2 linked regions of the Macaca fascicularis genome follow. The protein of the gene in region 1 interacts with the protein of each later gene in a pairwise test. Links are inferred from orthologs where the notes say so. Each region holds a gene or a part of one and is shown in the gene's direction. Other genes may lie near its edges. The genes, in order: BLMH and NUDT12.

Evidence for each region.
Region 2: the proteins of BLMH (region 1) and NUDT12 interact in binary tests that used the Homo sapiens proteins (3 or more experiments, as listed by UniProt). The two-hybrid records come from large-scale screens. The link is inferred for Macaca fascicularis from reciprocal best matches to the Homo sapiens genes BLMH and NUDT12.

What each region holds. Positions count from the first base shown.
Region 1 is NC_088390.1:35,797,136-35,813,775, reverse strand, and holds the start of BLMH (bleomycin hydrolase), read left to right. Parts: upstream 1-7,627; 5' UTR 7,628-7,758; coding exon 7,759-7,771; intron 7,772-8,074; coding exon 8,075-8,272; intron 8,273-11,650; coding exon 11,651-11,760; intron 11,761-12,959; exon of another isoform or gene 12,960-13,068; intron 13,069-13,194; coding exon 13,195-13,336; intron 13,337-14,248; coding exon 14,249-14,337; intron 14,338-15,664; coding exon 15,665-15,757; intron 15,758-16,640. UniProt on the Homo sapiens protein: The normal physiological role of BLM hydrolase is unknown, but it catalyzes the inactivation of the antitumor drug BLM (a glycopeptide) by hydrolyzing the carboxamide bond of its B-aminoalaninamide moiety thus protecting normal and malignant cells from BLM toxicity.
Region 2 is NC_088380.1:109,944,598-109,960,457, reverse strand, and holds NUDT12 (NAD-capped RNA hydrolase NUDT12), read left to right. Parts: upstream 1-1,438; 5' UTR 1,439-1,568; exon of another isoform or gene 1,569-1,779; intron 1,780-3,993; 5' UTR 3,994-3,999; coding exon 4,000-4,205; coding exon of another isoform or gene 4,206-4,236; intron 4,237-4,774; coding exon 4,775-5,364; intron 5,365-8,136; coding exon 8,137-8,304; intron 8,305-9,376; coding exon 9,377-9,490; intron 9,491-11,779; coding exon 11,780-11,979; intron 11,980-13,217; coding exon 13,218-13,328; 3' UTR 13,329-13,573; coding exon of another isoform or gene 13,574-13,600; 3' UTR 13,601-15,331; downstream 15,332-15,860. UniProt on the Homo sapiens protein: mRNA decapping enzyme that specifically removes the nicotinamide adenine dinucleotide (NAD) cap from a subset of mRNAs by hydrolyzing the diphosphate linkage to produce nicotinamide mononucleotide (NMN) and 5' monophosphate mRNA.

The sequences.
Region 1 (16,640 bases):
TGAATTTATTGAAGGAAAGATACTATTTTTCCAGCTAAAATGGCTCCGCCATGTGGCACTAGCATAAACAGTTTCTAATTCACTTTACCACCACCAGGTTTGAAAGTATGCAATTCCTGACAAATACTAAATATTACAAAGGTTTCACACCACTTCAAATTTTGTGTATATAATGAAGTACTATTAATGGTTTATAATGAATGATTCCAAATTTGCATATCTCAAATGCTCATAAAACTCAACCAAACTTTCTCATTGTTCTTGAATCAGACTCAAGGCCATTCATGCCTCTACCTTTGCATGTGCTGTTTCCTCTGCCTAGAATGCTCTGTGAAGTGCTAGCACCTAGAGCAGTGACTAGCAGAAATGTTATATCCAGAGGTGAGAATAATGTGGGTGTAAACATCAAGAACATTGGATCAACATTCAAGAACATTGGATCATGTTTCAAAAAAACCCCAGACATAATCTACAACTAATGTTGAATATGCTGAAACATTTAAAACCTGAATCTAAAGTTCTCTGGGCTTAAGGAGGGGTCACAGGGTTGGGTTAAGCCCACATGGAGTTTAGGAGTGGCAGGGAAGGTGGAAGTCAGAAAGCTGCCAGTTCTCCTGGACTCAGATGAGTGCACGCCACATTCTGGAGAAAAATTATAGTGAAGGGATATAGGCTCCTTTGGGCCCCAAAAGCCCCAGGATCCAGTATCTCAAAGTTTTGGCAGGGTCAGCACCTGCTAGCTTTGCTCATCTTAGGGAGGTGGGAATTACAAGGATAAGAATGGGGATGATAGTGGAAAGGGAGAAATAATTTTCCCAAACTCCACCCAGGTCATTCTAAATCAGGGGTTGAAAACATAAATATCCACAGGCAATAAATGTAACACTTTTTTTCCCTCTTTTGATGCAGAAATTACTATCACGGGAAAACAACAGTATTTTTTTTTCTTTATTTTTTTTTAACAGGGTTCGGTTCTGTTGCCCAGGCTGGGGTGCAGTGGTGCAATCTCTGCTCACTATAACCTCTGCTTCCCAGGCTCAAGCCATTCTCCCACCTCAGCCTACCAAGTAGCTGGGACTATAGATACACACTACCACCACCTGGCTAATGTTTGTATTTTTGGTAGAGATGGGTTTCGACACAGGATTTTTCTCGGCCACTTTGCCAGCCAGAGACCTCTGGCCAGTGATGCCCCTGCCCAGGCCTCGCTTGGCACTGGGTTTGTTGCAGGAGGCACTCAGCCTACTCGGCCCATAGGCCGTGCCTGATTTGTGCTCCAGCACAGATCCCACAGGCACCACAACTGCACGCTCAGCCCCCAGTGGGAAGGGATGTGTGGGTGAGCAAGTGCAGGGTCTGGCCAGTAGCTCCAAGTGCTGGCATAGGAGAGGCTCCATGTGGTGCCTGTGGTTGAACCACGCCTGTTGCAAGAGACTCCTGTGGTGGACTCTGGCATCCAGGTGAGGGGAACGTGGTGGTGCCCAAACAGGGAAGCCTGTGACCCTGAAGCCCCAGAAGAGTGTGTTACAACACACTGACAGCTCTTTTAGTCTAGGGTTAACCATTCTGTCAGTCCCACTGCCCTGCTCTAGCCCATGGCTCTGGGGTTCGCTCAGCCCTGCCTTAGTGGGGGGCAGCTGCTAGGTGCCAATGTGGGGTAGAGGGCTACAGTGTTATTGCCTTTTTGTATTTGCATTCAGCAGGGTCCTGAGTTTTTGTCCCACGTCCAAGAAGAATGAGACTACGCTGACAATCAAAGGGTGAGAAGGATGGAGAAGAGTTTTATTGAGCGATGAAATACCTCTCACTAGAGAGGGAGTGCGAGAATGGTCCCCCACCTGAAGTTGGGTGGTCTCTCTCCCAGGGTGGCTGGGTCCAGGGCTTTTATGGGCTCAGAATAGGGCAGTGTGTGCTGATTGGTTTGTAGGTATGGCAAAAAGGCTAAAACAAAGGCACAACAGTGTAAAAAATCAATTAGGGAAGGGTAGGTATATGTAAATTATGTGAAGGATGGGGTTCAGTCACAGGAAAGCATGCCAAACAGGAAGAGGGGTTCTCAATTCAGTCCATGGATTTATCCAAAACTTGTAGCTTGGCTTTCAGGCTTTAAACTGTCTTTGGCTTGAAGGTGTGATTTCGCTGGGGACCCGCCCTTATCTGCTTAGGCATTTGACTACCTATCAGTTTCACCATGTTGCCCAGGCTGGTCTTAAACTCCTGGATTCGAGTGATCTGTCTCCTCGACCTCCCAAAATGCTAGGCATGAGCCACTGCACCCAGCCAAAACAATAATATTTTATTTTATTTTATTTTATTTTTTTTTTTTGAGACGGAGTCTTGCTCTGTCACCCAGGCTGGAGTGCAGTGGCCGGATCTCAGCTCACTGCAAGCTCCGCCTCCCGGGTTTACGCCATTCTCCTGCCTCAGCCTCCCGAGTAGCTGGGACTACAGGCGCCCGCCACCTCGCCCGGCTAGTTTTTTTTTTTTTTTGTATTCTTTTAGTAGAGACGGGGTTTCACCGTGTTAGCCGGGATCGTCTCTCGATCTCCTGGCCTCGTGATCCGCCCGTCTCGGCCTCCCAAAGTGCTGGGATTACAGGCTTGAGCCACCGCGCCTGGCCAACAATAATATTTTAAAGAGAAGCCAGCTACCCGGATTTGTATCCAAAACTTCCCAATTATAAATATTGTCTCAAAAAAATTTTTCTAAGACAGGGTCTTGCTCTGTCATCCAGGCTGGAGGGCAGTGGCATGATCATGACTCACTGCAGCCTCAACCTCCCAAACTCAAGCAACCTTCCCATCTCAGACTGCCAAGTAGCTGGGACTAAGGTGCACACTATCACACTGACTAATTTTTGTATTTTTTATAGACACAGGGTTTTGCCATGCCATGTTGCTCAGGCTGATCTCCAACTCCTGAACATTCTGCCTGCCTCAGCCTCCCAAAGTGCTCGGATTCCAGGCATGAGCCACTACCCCGGCCAGCTCAAAAATTTTAAATTACCATGCAGGCCAAACAAAATGTCTCAAAGCTGAATTTGCTCCAATAGGTTACCGGTGTGTGAACTCTGAAGTTGACTATCACGTCTGGTGAAATATAAGAAGGCTTCTCTAACCAAGGCAAATCTTGGAGTAAGTGGGACAACACTTAAGTATGAATGAGTTTCATAGAATTGGAGAATGTTTGTGTTAGATTCTAGCGTAGACTTCCATTCAACACAAAAACCTGGTCTTTTCTATCGAAATAGAAGTAGTTGTGGCCAGGCACAGTGGCTCACACCTATAATCCCAGCACTTTGGGAGGCCACCTGAGGTCTGCCCACTTTGTGGGCAGATCACCTGAGGTCAGGAGTTTGAAACCAGCCTGGTCAACATGGTGAAACCCCGTCTCTACTAAAAATACAAAAATTAACTGGGTGTAGTGGCCAGGCGCCTGTAATCCCAGCTACTTGGGAGGCTGAAGCAGGAGAATTGCTTGAACCTGGGAGGCAGAGATTGCAGTGAGTCGAGATCGCGCCATTGCATTCCAGTCTGGGAGACAAGAGCGAGACTTCATCTCAAAGAAAAAAAAAAAAGAAGTAGTTGACAAACACATGTCAAAGATTGGTGGACAGCAAAGGAGGAGACACAGGGTGTGCAATCAATTTGCCTTGAGACTGGCCTTGTTTGCTTTAACTTGGTAGAGTGGTGTGGAAGCAACAGGCAGAAGGCATGTCTGCTGTGGCAGATGGTGCTGCCTCACAGGATTTATAAAGATTTTCTTTTCTTTCTTTTTAGAGACAGCTGAGTACAGCAGTGTGATCATAGCTCACTGCACCCTCAAACTCCTGAGCTCAAGTGATCTTCCCATCTCAGCCTCCTGAGTAGCTAGGTCTAAAAGTGTCTGCCACCACATTCAGCTAATTTTTTTCTAAAATTTTTTCTTTTTTTCTTTCTTTTTTTGTAGTGGTGGGATTTCACTATGTTGCCCAGGCTGGCCTTCAACTCCTGGCCTTTAACTCGAGGCAGGAATCCTCCCACCTCAGCCTCCCAAAGTGCTGGGATTACAGGCAATATTTTCTTTTTTAATATTATGGACTTCATACTAGAATTCTGTTTCTGGTTGCCTTGTCCCATGAGGTGTCACTGGGCTGTACAACATCTCTTCTGGCTGGAATAAGAGGGCTAGAACATAAGAATTTTCTTCTTGGAGAAATGTCTTCCTGGGTGGGTCATTTGGGGGCAACCCACTGGGAAACCAGTTTTATTCTGTACCTCCTCACCATGCCCACATGGGGGCTGAGTGCATGGGTGTGAATTGCTGGGTGGAAATCTGGTAATAAGGGTGCCACCCTGATGATGAGGACAGAGCAGGATGCTGGCAAAGAGATGATGATAGAAATCTCTGGGCATGGGGTGGAGAAATGTAATCGCCAGCATGGAAAGGGTGGCAATAGCTGTAAAACTGGTCCCCTCCACCTTCCCCAGTGATTCCATCTCCTCCTGAGCTCTTACTCTTGCAATTGTATCCTCTCTGACGTATATTTAATCTCTCATCTGTACTGATTCCTTCCTTTCATCCTCCAGTAGACATAAATTTACCCTTTCTCCCCAAAGAGCTTCCCTAATATTTACCTCCCTCTCAACTCACTACAATGTGGCTTCTGCCCACCCTTCCCCTCCACTAAAACTGCCCTCTCTAAGGTTGCCTGCAACCCAGTTGCCAAAACCAATCTTACTTGACTCTCTGCAGCTTTTAGTTCAATTCACTGTCCTCGCCTTGCCTTCCTGGGATTCCAGGACGTAACTCCCCAGGTCTCCTACTTCTCTGACTGCTCTTTCTAGTTCTGCTGGCTCCTCTGTTTTCATCTATACTTTAAACATTATCATTTTCAGAGCTAATGCTACCCCCATATGGCATCCTTATAAGAAGTCATGAAAGGGGCCGGGCAAGGTGGCTCACGCCTTTAATTCCAGCACTTTGGGAGGCCGAGGTGGGCGGATCACGAGGTCAGGGGTTCAAGACCAGCCTGGCCAACATGGTGAAACCCCGTCTCCCTTAAAAATACAAAAATTAGCTGGGTATAATGGTGCGTGTCTGTAATCCCAGCTACTCAGGAGGCTGAGGCAGGAGAATTGCTTGAACCCAGGAGGTGGAGGTTGCAGTGAGCCGAGATTACACAGCGAGACTCTGTCTCAAAAAAAAAAAAAAAAAGTAGTGAAAGGTACATCATACTCTGTGCACAGCCTTGGCCAGGGTGCATGGCTTGGCAAGCAGAGCCTGGACTGCATTTTAGTCTCTACTCACCACACTCAGCCTGGTGCCCTTGTGCCATGAACACCCTGTGCCACTGCACATTGCAGCCCAGGGCACTATCTGTGGTCTTCATCTCTATCTCACTCTATCCTGTTTCCCTCTGTAACCCTGCTGACTTCCATGGTTCCAACTTGAACTTATGTGTCTCACCTAATCTCTAGGTATCTTTTCATCTACCTCCTGAACTTCTCTTCCTGGGTGTCCTGTGGGCATCCTAATGTTGCTATAGCCCAAACTCAGTTCAGATCTGCACACTTGCAAATATGCAAATATACCTATTTTTCTGTATGCCCTCTCTTGGTTAATGATACCACCTTCCATTTTCTTATTCAGCTGAAAACCTCAAGATTATCGATGCCTCTTCCCTTTCTGCAATTTAAGGCTTTTGTCCTCTCCCAAGTTCACTACTGGAAGAACCTTCTAGGCAGTTTCCCCATCTCCAGAGCCTCTCCCCTCCAAATCACTCTCCCCACTGCCACCAGGTTTTTTTTTTTTACACGGACTTCAGCATGTTTTTCCTTTGTTTCAAAACCCATTTTGTCTTCTAATTAACCATAAGATAAAGTCTAGATGCTCAGGCATTGCACATAAAACCCTTTATATCTTGGCCCAAACTCACACTTTTCCAGTCCTACACCTTGCCTCTGCTCTCAACACATGCCTTGCTCTTAGCCACATCCGATTATAATGCACCCTTTCTCGAACATGATTTTATTCTCTGTGCCTTCGTTGGTGCCTTGAATGCCCTTCTCCTGTTCTTTAACTTATAAAAATCTCATCCACTCTTCAAGATCATGCTCTCTTGTCACTTCTATTTTCAGGCACCCTTTGGCCCTAATTGATGGTGCTCTCCTCATTGCTTCTACAGTCTACAGCGCTATTGGTATGCTACTACAGAGAGTCTAAAAGTTGTTTTGCATTTCTTTCCTACTACACTGAGCTTCTTAAGGGCAAGATTAAGTTTTGTTCATCTCTATGTCATCGGTAGTTTGTCCAGTGCATAGTACATGTTAGATATTGAATAAAAATTTATTATTTGAATTGGACAGGATGCTTGAACATCATTTTGTGAAAAGACCAGTGATTTCTTTCTGTATAATTCTCAGCCTCTTCTTTTTCAGATATTGAAAGAACCTCAGAATACGATGGTTGATGGGCCCACTTAAAATAGTTGCTATGTTATAGCCCCAATTTTTAGCTGAGTCTCTCTAGGGACATAGAAACTGTGCTTTCTTGAATGACTGGTGCCTCAGTATGGATTTTTCCAGATATCAGAGTTCCTTAGAACTGCGATGGTTTTCAACCTAAGAAGACCTAGATTCTAGGTTACACACACACACACACAAAACCTTATTGTTTTGAATAGCAGATACAGGGTTTCAGTGTTTTTGTTTTACCCTCTTTGGGTTCTAGCCCAACATCTTACTAAGGGCTGAGATTTCGGGGCATGAAAAACGGAATCAACAAAAACAAGGTTTTTACAATCTCAAAACTTTGGGAAACTGTTATCTTGAAAGCCTAGAGGGGGAAGCATCAGTTAGTTTTGTAGAGAACTCGGCAAAACAATATTGAGGCATAAGGCTAGCCTCTGTCATCCTCCTAGGTTAAACCCAACGGGACATGCTGGACTATACAGGAGACACTCGTGAACTCCGTTAAGACCAAATGGGTAGCGTTCTTGAAATGAGCAGCTGTCTATTTGTAGAACTCTGGTAATAGCTTTGGAGTGGGTGGGAAAGAGCTTGGTTCCAATTTCCCCTCAAAGACAATTATTTGCTTCTGACGAGAATCCAAGCAACCAGTTGCCATTGAGAATGCAGTGATTGGTCAGCAAACGAAGCCTATAGGAAGAGCCTTCGGGTGCATTCCTTGTGACCCGTCCTAAGCCTGATGCTTAATTATGGGACCTCTCAGCTCCTCCCTCCCGCCTCGAGCTCCCTTTTGGCTTCTCACAAGGATTCCTGGGGACGATTCCCCGATGCTAGAGTACTTGGGGTCTGGGCCCGTAGGGAACACGTCAGCCTCCCTCCTCGGAGCGGGCCTGATACCGAGAGGGCGCTCGCGCGGCCCGGAGGCGGGAACCCAGGGGGCGAGGGCTCCGGCACCGCCCTGCCTCGCAGAGCAACTGCGCGGTAGTGCGCGGGGGCAGGCGCGGCCTCGGGCCCCCGGCACTGGCTGACCCAGCGCGTCAGCGAGGCCGCCCCCGTCGGCCCTCCCCCGGGCGGGGCCAGCCCCGACGGCGCTGAGTCAGCAACGCGAGGGGGGAGTTTTGTCCCTCCGCGGACCCCGTTTCTCCCGGCCTCAGCCTCCCCGCCGCCACCACCAAGCCGGTTTCCTTTTTCCGGCGCTCCGGGTGCGAGAGGCAGGTCCGGCGCTTTAGGCTGGGAGCCGCAGCGCAACCCCGGCGCTCGCCCGAGGACCCTGGAAGCTACCGTTACGCCGCCGGGCAGCGTGGGCGCCATGAGCAGCGCGGGTGAGGTGCCGCCGTCCCCCGCCGCGGTCCTCTCTGGAGGAGCTCCGCGGTCCCCGTGAGGCCCGGCGGCGGGGAAGGCCGGGGGCTGGGACCCTGGGCGATGGCGGGGAGGGAGCTTTCGGGGCGAGCTGGAGCGGCCTGGAGGGAGACAGCGCCTTGGAGGAGGATGCAGCTCATGGGCTTCCCCGCTGCAGCGGGCATCCCAGGATGCGCCTACGAAGTTAGATCCGGGACGCGGGAGCCCCAGATCAGCCCTCTTCCCCCTCTTTTTGGCGTTAAAATCCCGTTTTGGTCTCCCAACAGGACTGAATTCGGAGAAGGTAGCTGCTCTGATACAGAAACTGAATTCTGATTCCCAGTTCGTACTTGCCCAGAATGTCGGGACCACCCACGACCTGCTGGACATCTGTCTGAAGCGGGCCACGGTGCAGCGCGCGCAGCATGTGTTCCAGCACGCGGTGTCCCAGGAGGGCAAGCCAGTCACCAACCAGAAGAGCTCAGGTGTGGGCTTCAACTTCTCCCATACTTTCCTTGACCTTCCTGACAGCGTCCCATTTTGGTGTCTTACTTGAGAGTGGTCTTAAATTCGTACTGAAAGAACTGGTTGTAAATTCTTAGAGAGTGAGGCACAGGTACAGGCAGGTCTAAGAACATTACCAATGTGGTTTGTTTTGGTGTTCTGTGGCTTGTTAGCACATGTGGTTAGAATACTAAAGTGACATGTCCACGAGTATACGTTTGAGTGTAATTGACTATATTATGTTCCGATGTTTTGTGGTTTGTAGCCCATGTTTTGGAGATACATGGTTTTGGTCACAAAACAGAATATGTGAAAAGGTTCATATCCTTGGAGGACTCCCCAGAAACGCCCTGAAGGCCCTATACTATGAAATAGAAAAGACACAATGTAATTACATTAAAATGTCATCAGATGTTACTTTTAAATTTGTTTCTTGGTTACAGTTGACGCTAATGTGCTGATGGGCTCAGTTCCCACCAGTAGATCAATTTGTAATACAGAAAAAAGTTCTATTCTCATGCCTTACTAGTCAAGAAGTCTCGTTTTGCTATCTGCTTTCTAGCACCACTCTCAGAAAAAAAACAGGTATAGTGAAAGATTGGATATCCAACAATCTAAATAAGGAGCACATTCTCACAACAAAATTGTACTAAAAGGATTTTTTTAAAGTCTTTATCTACTTGAAGACCCCCAGTCTATCTATATGGACAGGAAGCACATCAGTGCTTGTTTAGAGTCGGTCAGAACTCACAAAGCACACATTTAACTTGAGTACATTTTATTGTATGTACATTTTACCTGAATAAAGTTGATTTTTTAAATGTTAAGGAAAAAATCAAGACCTTACAATAATTAATGTTTTGCTCTAGAAGAAAGTGCTTGGAGTGGTATGGGCTCTCAGGCTACAGATGATACAGTTAGTAATGTCACAGTGGTCCTACATAGTTTAGATTGCAGTGACTTGTTAGGGAACAGGTCAGGTCTTACACATTTTGCAGTGTCACTTTTATATACAAAAGATCCAAATAGCATGTGAGCTATGTAGTTTATTTTCATGCAGTTTTCACATCACCAGTGCATCCAGATCCCTTCTACTAGAAATATATAGCATATAGAAGAGAGGTGACATACAGGTAAATCTAAGGTAAAGACTAATAGTAAGGCACTGGTGACTTTCAAAAAACACTGTAGTTAACTAGAGTTTTCTTCTTGTTACAAAATTATTTTTGTTTAATGTAGAATATTTGCAAATACCAAGTGAATATTTTTCCTGTATATTTGTCAGGTCTGTGTGTGTGTGTGTGTGTGTGTGTGTGTGTGTGTGTAATGTGGATTGATACCTTATGCATTGTTATGTAAGCTACCTATCTTTTTCACTTACCAATATATTATAAACGTATTTTCATATTAGTAAAAAAGTTATACCCAATACAAGTCAAAGATTTTCCCTCAGAATTTTCCTTCAGAAAAGAGATAATTTCCCTATATTTAAGACCTTAAAGGATTTTTCTAATGGGCGCTCTCAGTTACTTTATTTTGAAGTAGAGTACAATTTGGAGAAGACGTTACTCTGAAAAACCTCAGATGCGTACTACCTTTGCATGCTTACAGAGATCCTTTGATTGAATCAGCTTTTTTTAAAAGGCGACAAATTAGAATAAATTGATGTTGCATATCATTGTAAATAGACCTTTTAAAGATCATGTAAGTCAGAACAGGAAGTGGTGATAATGGAGTTTGTGATTATACACATACAGGACAAATGAAGAATCTGATTATATAGTTGATGCTTGGCATAGAATTTTCAGGGACAGCATCATGCATGGATTCAAAACATTGACTCAAACATACTAGAGGAAGAGAGATGACGTGTGCTGACTGAAAGAGTGGATCTAATGATGGCACAGACACTGATGGCTAGGTACATGTGAAGAGTATGAATCAGTGTGGAAATGAAATGTGAAGTAGGAAAAACAGTACTTCTAAATCAATTTATGTTAACATGATTTTAAGTATATATTTAAATTTATAAAATATTGGCCGGGTGCTGTGGCTCATGCCTGTAATCCTAGCACTCTGGGAGACGGAGGCAGATGGATCACTTGAGGTCAAGAGTTCGAGACCAACCTTGCCAACATGGCAAAACCCTGGCTCTACTAAAAGTACAGAAATTAGGTGGGTGTGGTGACACGCATCTGTAATTCCAGCTACTCAGGAGGCTGAGACATGAGAATCAGGAGGCAAAGTTTGCAGCGAGCTGAGATTGCACCACTGCACTCCAGCCTGAGTGACAGAGTGAGACTCTGTCTCCTAAAAAAAATTTATTAAAATATTATGGGTAGACAATTTACTATTCCTATATGTTTCGAAGTGTTTATAAAATCCAGTTAGGGAAATATCTCCACTTTTTTGGCTTATCACTAGGAGAATGGAGTATTGACTTACGTTAAGGTCAGCCTATACGGAAGCATATACAATCACCCTATATTGAAGCATATTGGAACGCATATTCCAGATTAAAGGGTAGGGGTTTTTTATTTTTTATTTATTTTTTGAGACGGAGTCTCCCTCGGTCACCCAGGCTGGAGTACAGTGGCACCATCTCGGCTCACTGCAACATCTGCTTCCTGGGTTCAAGTGATTCTCCTGCCTCAGCCTCCTGAGTAGCTGGGATTACAGGTGCTCGCCACCTTGCCTGGCTAATTTTTGTATTTTTAGTAGAGACAGGGTTTCACTATGTTGGCCAGGCTGGTCTCGAACTCCTGACCTCAGGTGATCCACCCGCCTCAGCCTCCCAGAGTGCTGGGATTACAGGCGTGAGCCACCGCCGGATGGGTAGGGACTTTTTAAAGCTTTTGCTAGGTACTGCCAAATTGCATTCAGGTATTTTATGCCTATTTAGATTCCTATCGAGATTGATAATGATGTTTATTTCCCCAAATGAAATAAGAAATGATCTTTCCCCACTTAACAGGTGTCTTTATCATTAACTTTTACAACTGCTTCTTTGTCATTTGTATCTTTTTTGGCCACTGAATGATCTATTTGTGGTCTCTGTTCACAGTTTTCTAGCTATGTTTCTTTTTCTAATGTGATTTTCTTGGGTGATATGTAATGGATTCTTTATTTTATATGTAAAGAGTGTTTTTGTGTTAAAGATATTAAACCTTTGCACATATATTGCTAATAATAATTACCACCTTTCTTGTTTTGTTTTGTTTTTAATTTTTCTGCTCTTTCTGATTTACTCTTTCTGAATTGTCCAGATCTTGTCATGAGTTCATTGGTGGGAAATAACAGTTGGAGCAGTGCAGTCTGTGTGAACCCTCATAATTTCTTGATGTGCTTTCTTGTTTCAGGGCGATGCTGGATCTTTTCTTGTCTGAATGTTATGAGGCTTCCATTCATGAAAAAATTAAATATTGAAGAATTTGAGTTTAGTCAATCTTACCTCTTTTTTTGGGACAAGGTAGGGGACGGATCTGGCAAGATTCTTTTTGTATTGATTTCAGCGTTGGTAGAGACTGCCTCTTCATTTGTTGCTTTTCCATTTATACCCTGCCCTTTCATAATGGGTGAGACACCTTTTATTCTGACTTCCAGAGTATCAAAAGTTGACTCTTTCAAAGGCAAGAACTGTTTTTGGTTGGTAGGTGGCTATATTTTGCTTGTCTATTTAAAATTTTAAATTTTATATTCAATATTCAATTCAGTGTATCTCCCTTTTTAACATCTTTTTAGGTTATTTGTTCTTTTCTAGGACCTAATTTCCCTTCTCAAGTACTTGTCTGAAAAACAGTAAATAATGTTATTTCGTTGTTTATTTATTTATGTATTTATTTATTTATTTTTTGAGACCGTCTCACCCTGCCACCTGGGCTAGAGGGCTGTGGCACAATCTCAGCTCACTGTAACCTCTGCCTCCCGGGTTCAAGCCGTCCTCTCAACTCAACCTCCCAAGTAGCTGGAATCACAGGCACATGCCACCATGCCCAGCTAATTCTTGTATTTTTAGTAGAGACAGGGCATTTCACCATGTTGGCCAGACTGGTCTCGAACTCCTGACCTCAAGTGATCTGCCTGCCTTGGCCTCCTAAAGTGCTGGGATTACAGGTGTGAGCCACCACTCCTGGCCATATTCCATTTCCTAATCTTCAAAATGTATATTACTGGCCTGGTTTAGTGGCTCATGCTTGTAATCCCAGCACTTTGGGAGGCTGAGGTGAGAGGATTGCTTGAGCCCAGGAATTCGAGACCAGTCTGGACGTGGCAAAACCCCGTCTCTACAAGAAATACAAAAATTAGCCAGGTGTGGTGGTGCACACCTGTCCCCCCAGCTACTTGGGAGGCTGAGGTAGGAGGATTGCTTGAGCCCAGGAGGTTGAGGCTGCAGTGAGATTGTACCACTGCACTGCAGTCTAGGCAACAGAGCATGACCCTGTCTAAAAATAAATAAATAAATAAACAAAATATATATTACATAGGTGCTCATTAAATGTTTATTGATTAAAGACTTTAGATATCAGGTTTTGTTTTAGCATTGAAATGTAAACACTGTACACATATACGCAATATATTGGAATACATACACAAGTATAAGAAACTTCACATATTCTGATGAAGTCAGATACTGATGTTTATTTACCAATTTTAGTTTAAAAATACTTATGGTTCTTGTTTCAGCATCCCAAATACCCAAACTGGAGTGATACAGAAAAGATTAGCATGACCTCTATACAAGGATGACATGTAAATTCACGAAGGGTTCATGTTTTTAAAAATAAAACAAAAAACTATTATGTTGATTCCTTAGTAATTCCAAGACTCCCATTCTGTTGATAATGCCAGTAAAATTACTAACTCTTTTTTCTTTTAATTTTATTTAACTTTCTTTACTCTTTAGGTTGAGCGCTGTTACTTCTTCTTGAACGCTTTTGTGGACACAGCCCAGAGAAAGGAGCCTGAGGATGGGAGGCTGGTGCAGTTTTTGCTTATGAACCCTGCAAATGATGGTGGCCAATGGGATATGCTTGTCAATATTGTTGGTAAAAGTTCTTTCTTTAATGGAACTGAAACTCAGCGTGATTAAGTAAGCCTGTAGTTAGACATGGGCCATTTCTTTGGTGGTTATGTACAGAGTAGAATTGGTCTCCAAGAAGGTTATATCGTTATTTCTGAGAACCTTTAGTTCACATTCTCACCTATAAAGTGCCTTTCTTAAATGAGGAGTAAGGAGAGAGCTACTGTGAAGGATGGGTTGGAGAAGAAAAGGTAGTATTAAGTAGAACTAATTTTCCATGAAAAAATTGTTTTCTTCTCCATTGATGTAATCAGGAAACACGTGAAAACTGTAGCTGTTTTAAAATGTCTTCAAAACATCTTTTGGGGAAATCTCATCATGCTGAGCACTTCACAAAAGTATGATAGATACACTTCATCTTGACCAAAAGGCTGAGAAATGACAAAGCATAGTAGATAAAAAGAATAGAATTAATTCTAACATAGACAGATAAATATGCACATTAAAAACCTACTTAGGCTGAGTAAGGTGGCTCAGGCATGTAATCCTAGCACTTTGGGGGACCAGGGCAGGAGGATTGCTCAAGCCCAGGAGTTCAGTACCAGCCTGGGTAACATAGTGGGACCCTGTCTCTACAGAAAATAAAAAAATTAGCTGCACATGGTATCATGCGCCATAGTTGTGCTACTCAGGAGGCCAAGCCTGGGAATTCAAGGCTGCAGTGGGCCAGGATTGTGTCACAGCACTCCAGTCTGAGTGACAGAGCAAAACTCTGTTTAAAAAAAAACAAAAAAAAAAAACCCTGCTTAATAATATGAAGTATAAGATTTTCTGAATTAAGCCAGCAAAATATGGCCTATTTTTTGAAACAATCACTATTTTTGCCAGGGTTTCTAATCTTTTACCTTATTTAACACTGAAATTTGTTTTCTTTTAGAAAAATATGGTGTTATCCCTAAGAAATGCTTTCCTGAATCTTATACAACAGAGGCAACCAGAAGGATGAATGATATTCTGAATCACAAGGTACAATATATGAAGCAGGGTTGGATTGAGTTTAGTGTACTTTCCTTAAAACTTACTTTTTAGAAGGGGTTCCTGGGTATTTCAGTGTATACTGTTTGTGTACAAGATAACTATTGATGTCAATGTCTGTCAAAAGCAATGTAGCTACATAATAACTTTAAAAATAATTAATATTAGAGGGTTTTTGCTTTTAAAAAACTTCCACTTTTATTTCTGTTGATGTTAATGTCTTCTTAGGGGGATAGTTAGGAAATAAAGTCCCATGTCCAATTAATACTGGCCGCAAGCACTCAGGATGCTGTGTCTCTCACTTGGTTCCAGTGGAGGTGGACTAGAACTGCTTTATGTGCTAGTAAAACCAAAAGAACTATTCGCAAGATTCCTTAAAGAGTGTGCTGTGTTCTGAGACTTCCCCAGACCACATCAATGTGGTTTATCCACCCACTAAAGATTTGTTGTAGTTATTGAACTGCTTTTTATTTGCTTCATTATCTTAATGAATCATTGTGTCTTCTCTACATAACCAGTTTTCCCGAGGAGAATTATAATTCCTACGGGGATGCTGCTTTTCTAGCCAGGCCTCGTTTTTGAGAACTAGGAGTTGCCAGAATCTGCTGTCCTAATCCATGAGGCCAAAATTGGATTTTTCATCTCCCTGGGAGAAAGATTACATTTTAAAATAAACTATAGGTGTGTCTCCCCAACATTAGAAGTGGGCTATTTTCCACCCTGGAAACGCTGGGGATTTTTATCGAAAGGCTAAAAGATCATTAATAATATGACATTTGATTCCATTTGAAGTGAGAGCAACAGCTTCTTTAGCACTGCGGTTAAATTTCAGACTCACCTTTATCTTAGTGAAAAAATGAAATGAAAAAATGAAAATTTTATTGGGGGCTGGCATAACCATAGTCATAGTCAGTTGGCAGAGAAGGAAAAATGGACAGCTATTGAAATTCTTAAGTAAAAATCTACTAGAGTAACATAGTGGCATAATTGTCTCCTGCTTTTTCTGAGTGATAGGCATTATGTAATCATGTGTTTTCCCCATGCCCAGACACATAAAACATCTTTATATGATGTTTGCAGAGCAGGAGCAGTTCCATCTAGTATTTTGGAGGAATAATGTATGCCTTTGCTCCTTATGGAAAGCATTTTTAGCTATGTGTTTAAGTGGACAAGTTGAAGAAAAACACATTTGCCTTTATGAACTTTGCCACGGGTCTGGCCTGAGTTATATTTCAAAATAGAACTTGCGTTGGTCTATGAGACTCATTTAGATTGAATTTGGGTAACTGTTGGAGTGCTGAATAAGTTTCTGTCATAGATGAGAGAATTCTGTATACGACTACGGAACCTGGTACACAGTGGAGCAACCAAAGGAGAAATCTCAGCCACACAGGATGTCATGATGGAGGAGGTAATAACAAAATTTGGATTTTTTTGTGACCCTTCTAAACAACTCTCAGAATATTCCCATCTATTAAACTAATGATTAGGAAGCTTTAGTCATGGCAACGAACGTTTAGTTGAATTGAAAATTACTTATTTTACACTGAAAAAACTGAGATTAAAACTTACTTTGCCTTTTAGTATAGGACTTGGGCTTAGGTTTTCTAATGGCTGGTTGAGTGGTCTGTATAATCATTCTTTTATCATTTCATAAATGCTAAATACGCTCTATGAGTTTGGCACTGAGGAAACAGGTGAGAAAGACATAGTCACTGCTCTTAAAGAGCTCAGTCTCTTGGGAAAAACACATCTATAATTAGAATAAATCCTATGCTAGATGTGTAAAACTGATTTGGTGGTCATAGAGCAGGAAGTGACTAGCTCAGTGAGCTGAAGGTTTCATAGGGAAGATAGCTCTTGAAAGAGTAGTCAGAATTTACCAGGTAGATAACAAGACCATTCTAGGCAAAAGGAATTATATGAACAGTGCCATGAACAGAGATAGAACCTTCAGGGAATCGTGTGGCTGAAACATAACTTTTGTCAGTATGATGGGTAGCAAATTAAGCTAGAAAGGCAGAGATAATAAGGGATGTTGGATAGATGCCAGAACATTTGGCTTCTTTCTGTAGAAATAAAGACAGGGAGTTATTGATGGTTATATTTGTTAAAATAATGTATGTAAAAACATTTTGGAAAATGTAAAAATCACTAAAATATGTGGTGGTAATATTATTTATGATCAAGACAGTTAAGAATCTTTATTATTAATACTATCCATGTCCAGAATGAATATGCATAAAACTGAAATTGGTTTGAGGAAAGAATAAATGTTTGTCAGCCAGTGGGCC
Region 2 (15,860 bases), on another chromosome or scaffold:
GTTGTTTTTCAAAGCCCTTGTATTTTAGATATAATTCATATTTCCAAAAAGTTTATTCTTAAATATTTGTCATCAAAACAATATGGGGTCTGGAATTTACTTCAAAACAATCCTAAGAACTGGGAGAACTATATATTAATAATTGTCGACTCTGGATCATTAATACACGAGAGTTCACTATACTAACCTAACATGTGTTTGAATGCAAAGACTGGTTACTCCGAGTGAAGTGACTAATCCTTTCGGACCACCAGTATAGTCACTGAAATTATTAAAGATTGAAGACAACTAGTCACATAAAGAAGCATAGGGCAGCCGGGTGGCTTACGCCTGTAATCCCAGCACTTTGGGAGGTCGAAGTGGCTGGATCACTTTGAGGTCAGAAGTTTGAGACCAGCGTGGCCAACGTGGCAAAACCTCGTCTCTAATAAAAATACAAAAATTAGCTGGGCCTGGTGGCGCAGGCCTGTAATCCCAGCTACTTGGGAGGCTGAGGCAGGAGAATCACTTGAACCCCCGGGAGGCGGAGGTTGCAGTGAGCCAAGATCACACCACTACACTCCAGCCCAGGTGACAGAGTAAGACCCTGTCTCAAAAAAAAAAAAAAAAAAAAAGAAAGGAAGAAAGAAAAGCAAAGCAGCTTCATGGTGAGAAGGAGCTTCCAAGGGTAAACTCTGGGTGGGAAACAATGATAAATTGTAAGAGACCCCTGTAGCTGTTGCTGATAACCAAGGAGAGAGTTTAGCAAAGGAAAAAGCCCGGTCTGGAAGTTAGAAGACCGCCAACACCTAGTTTTGTAATCTCGGACTCATAACTTCTGTAAGTTTTGGAGCATAAAAGCACAGGAACTGAAATAATAAATAATGACAATAATTTTGTTGTGGGTGCCCGCTCTGCACTTCACAACATCCTAAGAGCTTTGGATGTATTATCCTATGTAAACCTCACAATCCAAGAAGGTGGTGTGGGCGCTTGATACATACTTTTTAAAGGACTATGAATGAGTTACGCGTCAGTACATGATACCAGTTTTCACACGGGGTGATTGATTAAGGTGTTACAGAGGCCAAATATCTCTTTTAAGACTGACTTGGTATAGTCAATATTCCAAGATTATTTAACAGAAAAGAATGCTTTGAGCACTCAATTGCACCGGACTGTATTGGAGAGAGGGCTGGGAGCTGGGTGCCAGACGCTGGGAAATTTATAATTGCTTCCTCAGGCCTACGGTTTTCCGATCTCCTGCACCACGTTCTATCTATACATCACAGTCTCAGGAAAAGAATTTTCAGACCTTCACTCAGCGCCAATCCTTTAGACCTCAATCTCTCCCGCGCGGGCTCCCAAACACCTCCCCCCGCAATCTCCGCCCCTTCTCCGGTTGCGCACAACCTGTGGGCTTCAAACTACAACTCCCATAAAGCCACGGGAAGACCCCGGATCGCCACAGGAAGTCGAGAAGGCTGCATCCGGCGCCAGGAAAAGCGAGTGGGATATCCCAATCCTTCGACTGCGATATCCCAATCCTTCGACTGCATCCTGGTCGCCTCTACTGTGGTCACCTTTGGGTTAGTAGAAGCAGCGGCGAGTTAGTCGTCTCAGTGTCCCCTCTGGGGACAGTGACCAGTTCCCTGGGCTCTTTGGTTCCCGCGCTGCTCTGAGTGGCCCTGCAGGGTAGTGTGGCGCAGCCTCGTAGTGGGTTGGTGGGCGCAGGCGCAGGAACCACAGACGCATTTGCAGGGACTCTCGGGACAGGGCGGAGGCGCAGGTGGTCCTGAGGTTAGTAGAGTTTCCTGCCCTAGCTGAGATGGGGAAAAGGAAGCGCTACTTAGGGAGTGATTTCACCTCGAAAGAAGGAACCTAACAGTAGTGGCAAGAAAGTAAAATATCTCAAGGCGTGTTACAATTTTCCGAGACCGTGCACAGGTGGCGCTTAATTGGTCTTGAGTGCCCAGGGAGTGGATGAAATTCGTTAATTGATGGTCAGTGACTTCAGTGACAGAGCAATATTTGATGTCCTGTCCTGTCCCTCTCGGTCTATGAGAGCATGCGCAAGTCATGGGCCCCGGGTTACACGTCAGTAAAAGTGGATGTTGGTTTGTTAAAAATGTATGTCCCTTTAAATCTAATATTCTTTTAAATGATTTCTCGGAATAGTCCTTGAGCTTCTTGGAAAACAAGGGCAGCACTTTATTCTGCCTTCAAATCCTTACCTTCTATAACCTGCCAATGAGAATTGAAAAAGTAAATCAAACAGTAGAATTGGGTGTTAGAGTTTATGTGCTTCTCTGGAATGAATAATGGTACTGTCTCTAGATGGCTTTTCTGCTGAGAAAGCAAGAGGGAAAAGTGTACACTTTCCACTTTCTATCTCCACAGAATAGCATATGCATAAGCATTGCCCTGGAGGTAGTGAATGACGCTGTACTTTTGAAGGACAATTTTGCAGTCACCTAGCGCAGCCTGTGAGAATGTGAGGGAGTGACCGTGACCCTGGAACATGAAACAGTGAAATATTATTCAAACTAAACCTAGCTGAAAAAACTATAATATGGATTTTTGTAAAATAAATTTAAGAGAAAGACAATTTGAAGGGAGATCAGTACAGGAGCTGTACAGCAGTGCTTCAAAATAAAGTCCTGAAAAGTTAAAGCTTTTGTTATGCATAATATTTTAAAAGTATTTAGAAATTTCAATATGAAAAGAATAGCAAAGTAAATTCTAGAGTAAGTCAATTATTCTCTCATGTAGATATTACTTCTGGTAATTTCTAAACAGATTTCCACTATTAGGTTTTATCCAAGTGTTTCCATGACTCTGAGCTGTTTTAACCTATTTATAAGTAGCAGAAAGACTCAAATAGGAAAGGTGAACAGCTCCAAAATAAGAAAATTAATCTTTACTCCTTGTTTTCCCTAAATTTTGTTCATACTATTCCAGCTATGCAATTCATCAGCCAGATTGCCCTTTCAGAACCCAGGAGACAGCAGCTATCAAAAACTATGGGCTATAACATTTCTGTCTTTTCAGCTTAAAAATCTTATTGCTTAGAATAATAGCAATGTAGTTAGAATCCCAAATCTTTTCTTAATAGCATTTCATAGAAAGAAAAATTATACCTTAAAAAAATACTTTGAGAAATTCACAGACAGTTGAATCATTAACCATTTTCACCATCCCCCCCACCAAAAAAGAAAAAAAAAAAGAAGCTCAGTTTGTGCTCTACTATCTGCAGTCCATGATCAGGCAATGTTTAAGATGTGTGGGGCAGTTATTTGGGGGGGTTTTCCACCACTGAAAAGAGGGACAAAGTAGATAAAGTTAATGAGTTTTAAAAGCTGCTCTGATTCAAGGACAACAAAGTGATCAACAGAACTGTCCAATAATAAAACCAAAAATAATATGGTCATCTGATTTGTGACAATATTTGTCTCAGTACAGTACAACAAAGATGGAAATGTCAAGAATAATGCCGAATCATATGGATTATGCATTGGGTAAAAAAGTGTCTTGACCCCTACCTCACGCCATGAACAAAAATAGATCCTAGATGGATTACAGAATTAATTGTGCAAGGTCAAACAATAAACTGTTTTCATGTGAAACTTAGAAAATCTCTGCCTTTACTTCCATCTATTTTAATGTTCTCCCTGTCATGTCCCCACCTCATCATGAAGTCCCCTCTGGTGTACCCTAAATACTTCATCCTTATGTAATATGTTACCTGGTTCCCCCTCTAAGGATATGGCCCCCTAGTCTGTGCTGTCAAAGCTCTTTATACATTATTTTGTGTAACTCCCATGAGCATATAAATTTCATTGTATTTGTAATTCTAAACTGATAACATTTTGAAATTGAAATGTATGCTGTTTAATGATTGCCTTTTGAAGAGTATATTGCCTTGGAAACCATTGCTGCTATTCTAACAATATCATTCATTGACAAAAAAGCAGTTGCAAATAAGCTTTTTCCCCCTATTTTCCTTCTTTTAAGGAAGAAATGTCTTCTGTAAAAAGAAGTCCAAAGCAAGAAATAGTTACCCAGTTTCACTGTTCAGCTGCTGAAGGAGATATTGCCAAGTTAACAGGAATACTCAGTCATTCTCCATCTCTTCTCAATGAAACTTCTGAAAATGGCTGGACTGCTTTAATGTATGCAGCAAGGAATGGGCACCCAGAGATTGTCCAATTTCTGCTTGAGAAAGGGTAAACATTTTAGGCTGTACCACCTGAAAGGGTTTGTGGTTTAATTTCTTTGTTACATATTTACTTTTAAATTTTGCTTGTTTCCATATTTATATTGTTGAACTACTAAATAACTCATTGGCTAATTTATGTAAACATGTAGCACAATTTTTCTAACTTAAAACTTTGTAACCTTTTTCATTGAGAAATTATTACTTTATAGCAAAGCAAATTTATGAGGAGTCTAATAATAAACTTTTCTCCCAAATAGAAAATGCAGATCTCACTATGACTACCAAGGACTTCTTGTAGAATTTTGGTATCTCTTTATAGTACATAAAACTTAATGCTGTTTTATTTTGTGAGTAATTATCCAGAAAGTGTAAGTATCCACTGTCTCTTTTTGTCATTTATGATTATTGTTCTAATCCTCCCAATAGTAAACTATGTAACACAAGAAAAAAAATCTATGTAATCATTAAAAAGAAGGACTTGAATGTGCATCTGGAAATATTTTATTGAAACAAATACAGGAGAAAGTGTTTACTTCCTATTTTACTTTTTCTCCCCATTTTTTCTTCCATCTGTAGGTGTGACAGATCAATTGTCAATAAATCAAGGCAGACTGCACTGGATATTGCTGTATTTTGGGGTTATAAGCATATAGCTAATTTACTAGCTACTGCTAAAGGTGGGAAGAAGCCTTGGTTCCTAACGAATGAAGTGGAAGAATGTGAAAATTATTTTAGCAAAACACTACTGGACCGGAAGAGTGAAAAGAGAAATAATGCTGACTGGCTACTAGCTAAAGAAAGCCATCCAGCCACAGTTTTTATTCTTTTCTCAGATTTAAATCCCTTGGTTACTCTAGGTGGCAATAAAGAAAGTTTCCAACAACCAGAAGTTAGGCTTTGTCAGCTGAACTACAAAGATATAAAGGATTATTTGGCCCAGCCTGAGAAGATCACCTTGATTTTTCTTGGAGTGGAACTTGAAATGAAAGACAAGCTACTTAATTATGCTGGTGAAGTCCCGAGAGAGGAGGAAGATGGATTGGTTGCCTGGTTTGCTCTAGGTATAGATCCTATTGCTGCTGAAGAATTCAAGCAAAGACATGAAAATTGTTACTTTCTTCATCCTCCTATGCCAGCCCTTCTGCAATTGAAAGAAAAAGAAGCTGGTAAGAAATGAATGCTGCTTTTTGTTGGTAAAATCTGGTTTTTAGAATTGAGTTGGAATTGTATGTATTTGCACTTTCCAGGGCCACTTTTGTTCCAATGAGCAGTGAAATTAGACTGCCTTCATCAGAAACCTCCTAAAGTTCTCACCGTAGGGGACTACTCTCCTGGGCAGTTAGTAGTTCTAATCAGCCCAGACTGATTTCCTGAGAATTAACACTGGTGCAGGATGATCTCATTTGATTCCTCAGTGAATAATTCTTGAGTTCCTGCTACACACAGAACATGATGGCAAAGACCTTGACTGTTTTGATTTGTTTTGTATTCTGTTGCTGGGGCTTTTTATGGCATGGTAAGAAATTAGAGTTTGATTCTAAAGTCCATTTAAATGTAACCTGACCTGTATTTAAATTTTTTTTTTTTAAACAAAACACTGCACTGCACACTGACTGCATCATAGAGCATAAATTGCACACATGTAAGTAAGTGTGAAAGTTGGGAGTCTTGTTAAGAAGTAATTGAGTATTACAATTGCCCAAGTAAGAGATTGCAATGGCTTGAGTTAGAATGGAGGCAGTGGAGATGGAGACAAAGGGAGAATTTGAGATATTCTCGAGGTAGAATGGATAGGGCTTGATCTGTAGGTTGAGACCCTTGTAAGTGAGAGATGGTGGTAATATGGCATGAATTAAGGTACTGATAGTAGAAATGGAGGAAAGAGGGTATATGCAAGATAAATTTTGGAGATAAAATCAATGGTCTTTGCTATTGGATATGGGATATATAATAATGAAGGAAAAGATTAAGAATGACTGCTAGGCTAGAGACTTTAATAATTTGGTATATAGTGATACCATTAATAATATGATGGGTAGAGCAAGGAAAGCAGGATAAACTTGGAGTAAATAAATCAAGAGTTTACTTTTGGGCATACTAAGTTTTAGAAATGGACATTAGAATCAGATGTCTGAACTGGAAATACCCATATGGCAGTCATCAACACAAAGATACTTAAATCCCAAAAAACTACTGAGATTACTTGGAGAGTTGAGAGTAAGCAAGAAAAACTCTCAGAGTAAGACCTGAATCCCCCTACATTTAAAGGTAAGCTGCAAGCAGGAGAGCCATCAAAGGAGTTGGAAACAGTGTGGCCATGAGGTAGGAAGAGACCAAGAGGCCTCAGGGAAACCAAGACAGCAGCATATTTCCAGGAGGGAGTGGTCAAATGTATTGAATGCTGTTATGAACTTGAGTAAGATGAAGGCAAAGTTTTGTGGGGCTTTTTTTTTTCTTTTTTTTTTTTTTAAAAGAATCTTTGTCTTTGGTAATATAAAGCTATTGATGAACTTGACAAGAGAAATGTCAGTGGAGTGAAAGGAACGGAAGCCAGATTATGGTAGATTGATAAGTTAATGGGAAGTTAGGAAGAGGTCACTTGTCAGTGACCACATTCCCTTAGGTGATAGAGGTCCTGCCAGAGACTGCTTAAATATCTCTGTCTCAAAGTGTGATGCGGTATGTTTTATTCTACACACCTGTGTAGAAATCGTCAAGCTTTTTAAAGAAAATTTACTTTCTTTAGACATGTATATATCACTTTAAGATAAAAAAGATATGATAAATGAGCTAGTTGCTTGCTTTTTTCCCTTGTAGGAAAACTGAGGCCTTTTAACTCACTTGCTCTATAACTTTATACAGACTTAACTTTTCTGTGACTCAGTTTACTCCTACAGAAAATAATAATAGTACCTATCTTCTTTAGGGTTGCTCTAAACATAGGATAATCTATAAATATTCCTTGCATGATGCTTGGAACATTGTAAGTACTCAATAAATGTTAGCTTTTCTTTTTGTGATGATTCTGAAATAATGTAAATACCCTAGCATGTTACATATTATAAGGTTAGGTAGCAGGCAAAAATGTAACGTTGTCTGTTCATTACAACTGTTTTATGTTTATTTTTCCCAGTTTAAATGATGTTAGAATTTTAATTATTATTTTGTTCATTTCAAAAATCTGTAGACCAAATAATGTATTTTAGGGAGGTGACTTTGTCAAGCATTTAAAATACAGCACTTCTAGTCTTATTGCCTCAACTGTAATATTTCTGGCCAGGTCGTATTAATTCTTTTTTGAACTACCAGAGTAAAACCTATAGCTAAAGTGTGTATATTTTAAGATTTATCCTATTAGGCATTTTTTGGTAAACAAAGTTAACCATGAACATAGTAAATGCAGTGTGTTTTATACTGTGTACATGCAGTCTCCCGTTGAAAATAGGTTCTGTTCCACACAGCGTCGACCATCAATGGCATAGTCACCAAGAGAGTGGTGATAGCCTCCTACGGTTTCCTGGTAATATTTCCTTTAGAATACAAATCTCAAGAACTGCTTTTGTGGTATATTTTTATTAAAATCACTATTGTAAAATCACTGTTTGTAAACTTACTCTACACTAGAATCATGAATACCCCAACTTTTAAAATCACCTACACTAAAAGCCTGATCTAATGTATGATGTAAGATAGATGTTAGTACTTCTATCTTATATGAGAGTTATATTTTATTCAAACTAAACTTGAATCTAATTTTTGTCATCCAGAAAATTAAATCTTTTACTTTAAAAGAAAAATACACGTTATAAAAATAGAAACACTAAAATACCTGATCACATAGCTATTCTTATTGTAACTTGAGAATATTTTACTTATATATTGATTTTATCACGTAATTAAATTTTTGTGCTTTTTTTTTTTTTTTTTTTTTTTTGAAGGGGTTGTAGCTCAAGCAAGATCTGTTCTTGCCTGGCACAGTCGATATAAGTTTTGCCCAACCTGTGGAAATGGAACTAAAATTGAAGAAGGTGGATATAAGAGAGTATGTTTAAAAGAAGACTGTCCTAGTCTCAATGGCGTTCATAATACATCATACCCAAGAGTTGGTAAGCCCTTTATTTTATATCTCCGCCACCTGGATCTTGGGGAATAGGATATTCTGGAAAGAGAAAATTTGTGAGGAGCTGAAAAGTTTTCCTTTTTATGGAAAACATGTCTAACCATTAAGAATGTAAGTGTTAAAGTGTAACATACTTTCATGATTTTTAAGTAAAAAAACATGGTACATTCAATAGCCATTTCTTAACTTTGGGTTACTCACTATGAACCTGATATGTTATGATACATGATTTCAAAAGTCAACCAGTGTGGCTCCACTTAATGGAGAAAAAGCCCCAACAATTTCTTGCCTGTTTGAGGCATTACCATAGCAGTACAGCCTGGCTAGCTTTTCACTACTGTTAATGTCTGCCTGTATTCTCTCTTCTAATTGCTGCTTTGAGTCTGCCGTAGGTTTGGAAATCTGATAACCCAGACCTTTAAAACTGTGTGAAAAAACGATAGGTAGGCTCAGCAACACCTGAGGAGGCCTCTGGGGAGAAAAATAACATGGCTTAGTGACATCTGTTTTTGTTGCTCAAGACCTTTTTACATTTAATTCCTAGTTCTTAGTCATGATATAGTGAGAAGAATTTGCTGAATTAGTAACTTCTAGAGAGATGAACTGCTATTTAAATTTTATTTAACAACTTAAATCTAATCATAGAACCATATTAGCTTTTAAAAACATTTTGTTAAGGGTTAGGATGGGAGAGGGAAATTATTTACAGTGGTAAAATTTGAATTTTCCTTATTTGCATGTATTACCTACTCAAAGTTTTTCTCATTAAAATAACAATACACCTAACATCCATAAGTACAGAATAAATGTTGCTGTTAAGATTGGGGGAAGAAGGACAAAAATGGTCTTCTGCTAGCTTATTGACACTATTCTGTACAATTTCGCTGAGATACTCTGTTGTCAGCTACATTAGGGCAGAAAGAAGCAATCTCTTACAGCCAGACGAGGGTTCTATCCCTATAGGAGATACACCTTTATTTTATCCTATCAGACAGTGTTTGCACATGAATCTAAATTCGTGTTTCCTGCCATTCAGATATATGTTTTTTTTTTAACAGATCCAGTAGTAATCATGCAAGTTATTCATCCAGATGGGACCAGATGTCTTTTAGGCAGGCAGAAAAGATTTCCCCCAGGCATGTTTACTTGCCTTGCTGGATTTATTGAGCCTGGTAAGCCTTTTCTTAATAATTTCTATTTAACTTATGATTTCAAAATACAAAGTTTAGATAACATTTAATAATCTCTGATAAATTATGTTATAAAACTGGGTTAAAGTATTTTAAACATGATACAATTTCAATAATAGTTTAAACATGTAATTCTTATGTTTTATATGAGAATTACATAAATTGCTTTTCCTAGTAATTGGATCTGCTTTGTTAAAAATTCAGTATTTGCTCTTTGATATGTTGCTCTTGACCCAGGTATCTAGGTTCCACCTCATTTCCTTCTGTACTAGACTCAACTGTCACCTTTTCGAAGAGGCCTTACTTAATTGCCCCAGATACATTAGTTAGCCCCCATACCCTGCATTCACAATCCCTATCATCCTGCCTGATTTTTCCCTAGGGCACTCATCATCACCTAATATACTACGTATGTACTTATTAATTTATTATCTGCTGTCTCAAGAATATAAGTTTCATTAGCACAGGGACTTTATTTTATCCACTGCTATGTATGAAACCCTCATAGCACATGCCTATAGCACATGTAGTAGGTCAGTAAATGTTTGTGGAGTGAATATGTCTAAGTAATAAATGTTTTATCTCAATTTCCGTTTCCAATATTTGCATTACTAGATAATAGTAAACACACAGTATCAGGCTGTGTTCTGGAGAAGGATCATATCATATATATAAAACAGTATCAGGCTGTGTTATATATATATATATTGTATGATCTTCATACAACCATATAAAATACACTATTACAGTGATTTTGCAGATGGGGCACTAAGGCATAGGGACGAAATAATCTGCTCAAGTTCAAACAGCGAATAAGTGATAGGGAAGGGATTTAAACCTGGGCATGTTGGCTTCTGAGTTCTTGCTGCAAATCCCTATAATGTCTTTAGTAGTTCTAGGTCATTGTCATTGTCTTAACTGCTGGGTAGTAATCCATTCATGAATATTCCATTATTTATCCCTTCTGCTGATTGGACATTTAAAGTTCTTATTACAAACAACACTGCAATTAATATTTTTATACTTGTGCACACTTGCAAGAGTTATCTAGATTGTATACACAGAGTAGCACCACCAGCTTATGTGATATGAGCATCTTACCCTTTTCTGTATATTGCCAAGTTGTCTCTAAAGTGCTTCTGCCAATTTATACTTCCTCCAGCAGAACATGAAATGTTCCATTATTCCACATCTTCACCAAGTTAGGATTTTTCAGACTTTTAAATTTGTCATTCTGAGGGGTGAATGAAATTGTATCGCGTTTTCGTTTTCATTTTCTTGCCGATGGAACATCTTTTTTCAAATGTGTATTAGGCATTCAGTTTTCATTTCTCTGAATTTTAGATGTTTGTCTTTTACCTAATTTTGTTTTCATTGTTTATCCTTTTTTATTCATTTTAAGAATTCTTAAATATGTAGCATATGCGAATCTTTTGTTATAGTTTTGCAAATATCTTATGCTAGTCTATAATTATATTTTTACTATATGTGTTCTCTTGATTATTGTAAGTTGTTAATTTTCGTGTAGGAAATTTATCAATCTATTTGAAATAGAAAGCTATATTTAAAATATATTTTGCTAAATACAGCAATATTTAGCAAAATGTTTCTAAACTTCCAGATTTAGTTAAAAATGATTTTACTTAGAAATGATTTCACCTATTCTAATTCTTAAATCCAACAAATTAGAAATATAAAGTACATTTATAGGCATCAGTTTATTTTATCATGGCAGAGTCAGCAGTCATCTAGAGGAAAACAATTGCTTAGAAAAAGTATTAAATTTCATCTTATGTAGTTTTTAATCTTTTCATGACCTGAAAAGAGTTACCTGCAATAATTGTTTGACAACATAATAAAACGAGTTTGAAAATTTTAGTGTGAAAGAGCTATTTGTAAAAATCATGTAATTTATATCTATTTAGTGGACAATATATAAATGAGATCAGATATAAAGTGTTTGCATAGTGTTTAACCAATATTAGGTGTTGGATATTTTTAGATGATATCATTATTTTTAAAATGTAACTGACAAATTTGGATCTTTAAAAAAATGAAAAGTTTATTGTTGGCATTTTCATATTCTTTATGTGGTCATGTACTTTAAAAATTTATGTTTTCTTCAATTACAGTCTAGTTTTAGGCTTCTGCTTTCTGATTATTTGAATTGGGTTTCTGTCCAAAGTGATTTCCAGATGTTTGAACGATTCAGGACACAAAATGTCCAGCGCATGTTCATCAGCAACTTGTTCTTTTGCTCCATTTCATTAGGAGAGACAATAGAAGATGCTGTTAGAAGAGAAGTAGAAGAGGAAAGTGGAGTCAAAGTTGGCCATGTTCAGTATGTCTCTTGTCAACCATGGCCAATGCCTTCCTCCTTAATGATTGGTTGCTTAGCTGTGGCAGTGTCTACAGAAATTAAAGTTGACAAGAATGAAATAGAGGATGCCCGCTGGTTCACTAGAGAACAGGTAAAGTTCAATTTAATTTCCTTCTTCTATTGATTGTTCCCTGACTGTATTGGTTTGGGCACAGAACAAGGATGCATATTTTCAGCAAGTTGAATGATGGCTTTGGCCCTCTCATTATGCATGGATTACATGGTAATTAGTAATTCCATACAAGAGGAGTATGTTTCACTAATGTGATCTATATGTGAGATTTTTCTAGTAGAGATGATTCTGTACCATTTCGAATTTTAGATTCCATTCCTACACATTAATAGTTCCTATCAGTGGGCTTAAACATTAATTCATAGATGAGAAACAGGAATATTCTCAAACCTTTTATATTTTAGTTTATAACATTAAAACAAGTGGCTCTCAAAAAACATCAGTAAGTGCTTAAAATTTTCAGAAAGTTTTTATTCATCTTAAAATGTACTTAAGGCCAAGAATGACATAACTGTATAATAAACATACACTTAAAATAACTTTTTAAAATGCCATTCCTAAATAATATATTGAAAGATGGATTACTCATCTGACCTGAAATTCTTTCTGACTTTGCCTGCATAAAATTAATTTTATTCTATGCTTAATCCAAAAAGATGGAATTTAGATTATTGCTTATGAATTTTATAAAAAAGAATCTGTTTCAAAAGTTGGCTTCACTTAGAAATTAAGTGTGGAGCATACATTTTGCTTTTTCATGATGTCATTTTTCATAAGGGAATGTGTCTTTCTGGAACATTTTAAAAATTGAATCACTAACTCAGTGAAGGAGTTAAAAATGCTGTACTAAATTTTGCATGTTGAGGCTGGGCGTGGTGGCTTATACCTGTAATCTTAGCACTTTGGGAGGCCAAGGCAGGAAGCTTGATTGAACCCAGGAGTTTGAGACTAGCCTGGGCAACATAGGGAGACCCTGTCTGTACAGATAATTTTTAAAAAATTAGCCAGGTGTGGTGGTGTGCATCTATGGTACCAGCTACTTGGGAGGCTGAGGCAGGAGGATCGCCTGAGCCCAGGAGGTCAAAGCTGCAGTGAGCCATGATTGTACCACTGCAACTCCAGTCTGGGTGGCAGAGTGCAAGACCTTGTTCCAAAAAAAAAAAAAAAAACTTTGCCTGTAAATATGGATGTTGTCACTTTCTACTGTTATTCCCCGTAAAACTCATCACATTTTAATTGAATTATGTAAGTATGGGAATAGTATTTAAATATGACAGCTTTGAAATCCTAATGCATTCTGTTATGGTGTATTTTAGGTCCTGGATGTTCTGACCAAAGGGAAGCAGCAGGCATTCTTTGTGCCACCAAGCCGAGCTATTGCACATCAATTAATCAAACACTGGATTAGAATAAATCCCAATCTCTAAATCTAAGAACTAAGCTTTGGGTATTATTTAATAATTTCTAATAACACTCATTCCTTAAGTGATATTAGAGATTATTCAGTACTCTTGAGTGTCACAACACAGAATATCATGTTGGGTTTGGAAATATTTTCAAAATGTTCTTCTGTCTTAATCACAAATTCATATTTTTACAAATTACAATATTGCCTCAGATTATGTTAAATCTGGGTCAGCCTTCTCTGAACTTTTTCTTCATTGTTCTTCAGTTTTATCTCAGAAAACCATTTTTCTAATAAGAGACATCGTGTTGGAAAGAAGTATGTTCTAGAAATGTGCGTAAATTTCAGTGCCTCTTATAAGCATTAAATTGATGACGAAAGTTCTTGATCTGAGAAATGAAACAAAAAGTTTTAATGAATTTTTAGCTTGTATTAGCTTGTATTGATTTTTTAGTCCTTTTGTTATCTTTAAGTTATCAGTATCTGGTTTTTGCTGATCTCCCCATTGTAGTTCCACTTGCTCTTTCCTGGGGGTTCCATTGTTCTAGCAGTGGAGGTGTTATAGTGTAGCCACTTGTCTAATTTGACCAGTGTTAAGAATTTTCTTATTTTAATAATTAACTCTAATAGAGATTTAATAATTAACTCTAATAGAGATTTCAGTACCACACCCTCCTGGAAGGAGAAAAGCATACTATTATATCTAGGACCTCTCTTTTAAACCTAAAATTAATTGACACATCTACTTATATGTCACTTATACCTAAAGCTGTTATTAAGACAAATCAAGATTCTCTGGTTTTGCACTGAAATTAAACTTGAAAGGAATTCTCCTGAAAGGTCGGATATTAAATAAGTCCCAGGCAGATTTACATATTTAATTGAAAACATTGGCTTTATTTCATTTCGTGATGAGTGATGTATCTGCATTAGCAAAAAATCGTATAATCATTACCAATAATATTTATTATGCTCAAATATATCTTGGCTTTGACCTTATTTCAACATATTCTAAGAAGCCTTGATAAAATAAGTATATTTTAGAGCTGAATCAGTAAGATTCTAGAGAAAGCAAAACATAGTAGTTCACAATTTTGCAACATAGAAAGTCACATTTTATAAGGCTATTTTGAAATTGATTTAATAGCTATTATAGTTTATGAATATCAAAATTTGTATAATTTGGATCTTTACTAATGAATGCTAGAGCTGGAAGAGACCTTAAGGATAATATATGAAATTGACTTTCCTTATTTTATAGATAAGGAAAAAGAAATTGTGAAAGGTGAATTTACTTAATTAGTGAAAGTTACATAACTAATTAATTACAGCAGTCTGTACTATATAATGCAGAGGACGATTCTCCCTGTAATAGGAACTAGAAGCTATTACTAAAAATATAATAGACAGAATTAAAAGAAGGAATGATAAGAATAAATTTAACTTACAAAATATTGTTAATTAAAATTTTAGATACTTAATGTTTATTTAACTTAAATAATAACTGTCAGATAAAACTTCATTTTACTAATGAGCTGTGATTTTCTTAGGAATTGATGAAGGCTTATTGGTATCAAGAATTTAAACCAAATTAAAACTGACACAGGACATTTAGATACATAATAAAATTTGAGCTACATAAGTATATGGAAAATAATGTACCTTGATTATTATGAAACAGAGCGTCTTGAAATTCAGTTTTACTCCAAATGTACTTTTAATACTTACAGATTCTAAGATTACATTGTAAAATTCCAGGTTGTCATAATGTTAAGATAGGAAAGTGGAATATAAAGTATCAACAAGTGTGGTTATACGTTTTGTTTTAGATATTTAATCCTTACTTGGGGAAAAATCAACATCAAAGTAAATTATTGTTTTAATAACAACTTTAAATTGCCAACCTCTGAGAGGTGAAAAGCTATGTAAATAGAAGGAATGGCCAATTCAAAAGAATAGTAGACGTGGTAGTGCCATGAGTGTATTCTACTGGAAATGAATGTCATAATAAATTTTTAAAATTGATTTTGTTTTGTGTGTGTGTGTTTAACATGTTTTGACAAGTCTCTTGAAAAATGAGTAAAGCCTAATTTCAGTTCTTAACCTGTTTCGAATTGATGACGTGTACAAAAAATGCAGAAGCCTTTTTAAAGTGTCTGTGTTTGGGAGACTTAAAACTTTCATTTGAATCTTAAAATATAGTTTGGGGTCAAATACAAACAGACTTACATATACATACATACATATATAAAGTCAATAGTTTTTGCTCTTCAGGTTTAAAGCAATATATCTGGTATTATTTTTATTACTTGTCTAATATTGCTAATTGTTGGATTTTGACATTTTCACATGTTGATGGAACATGAAGAGTTAGAAGCCCACATCTTTCATTCAGTTGGAAAAATGAGAAATTCTTTTAAAGACCCGGTTAGGGATTTGGCTGAAGACAGAAAATAATAGAATAACAAAGGGAGAGACCATGAGATGGAAGGAGGAAGAATAAGTTTGTTAATAAACGAAATAAACTAAATTAAATCCCACATATAACAACAAT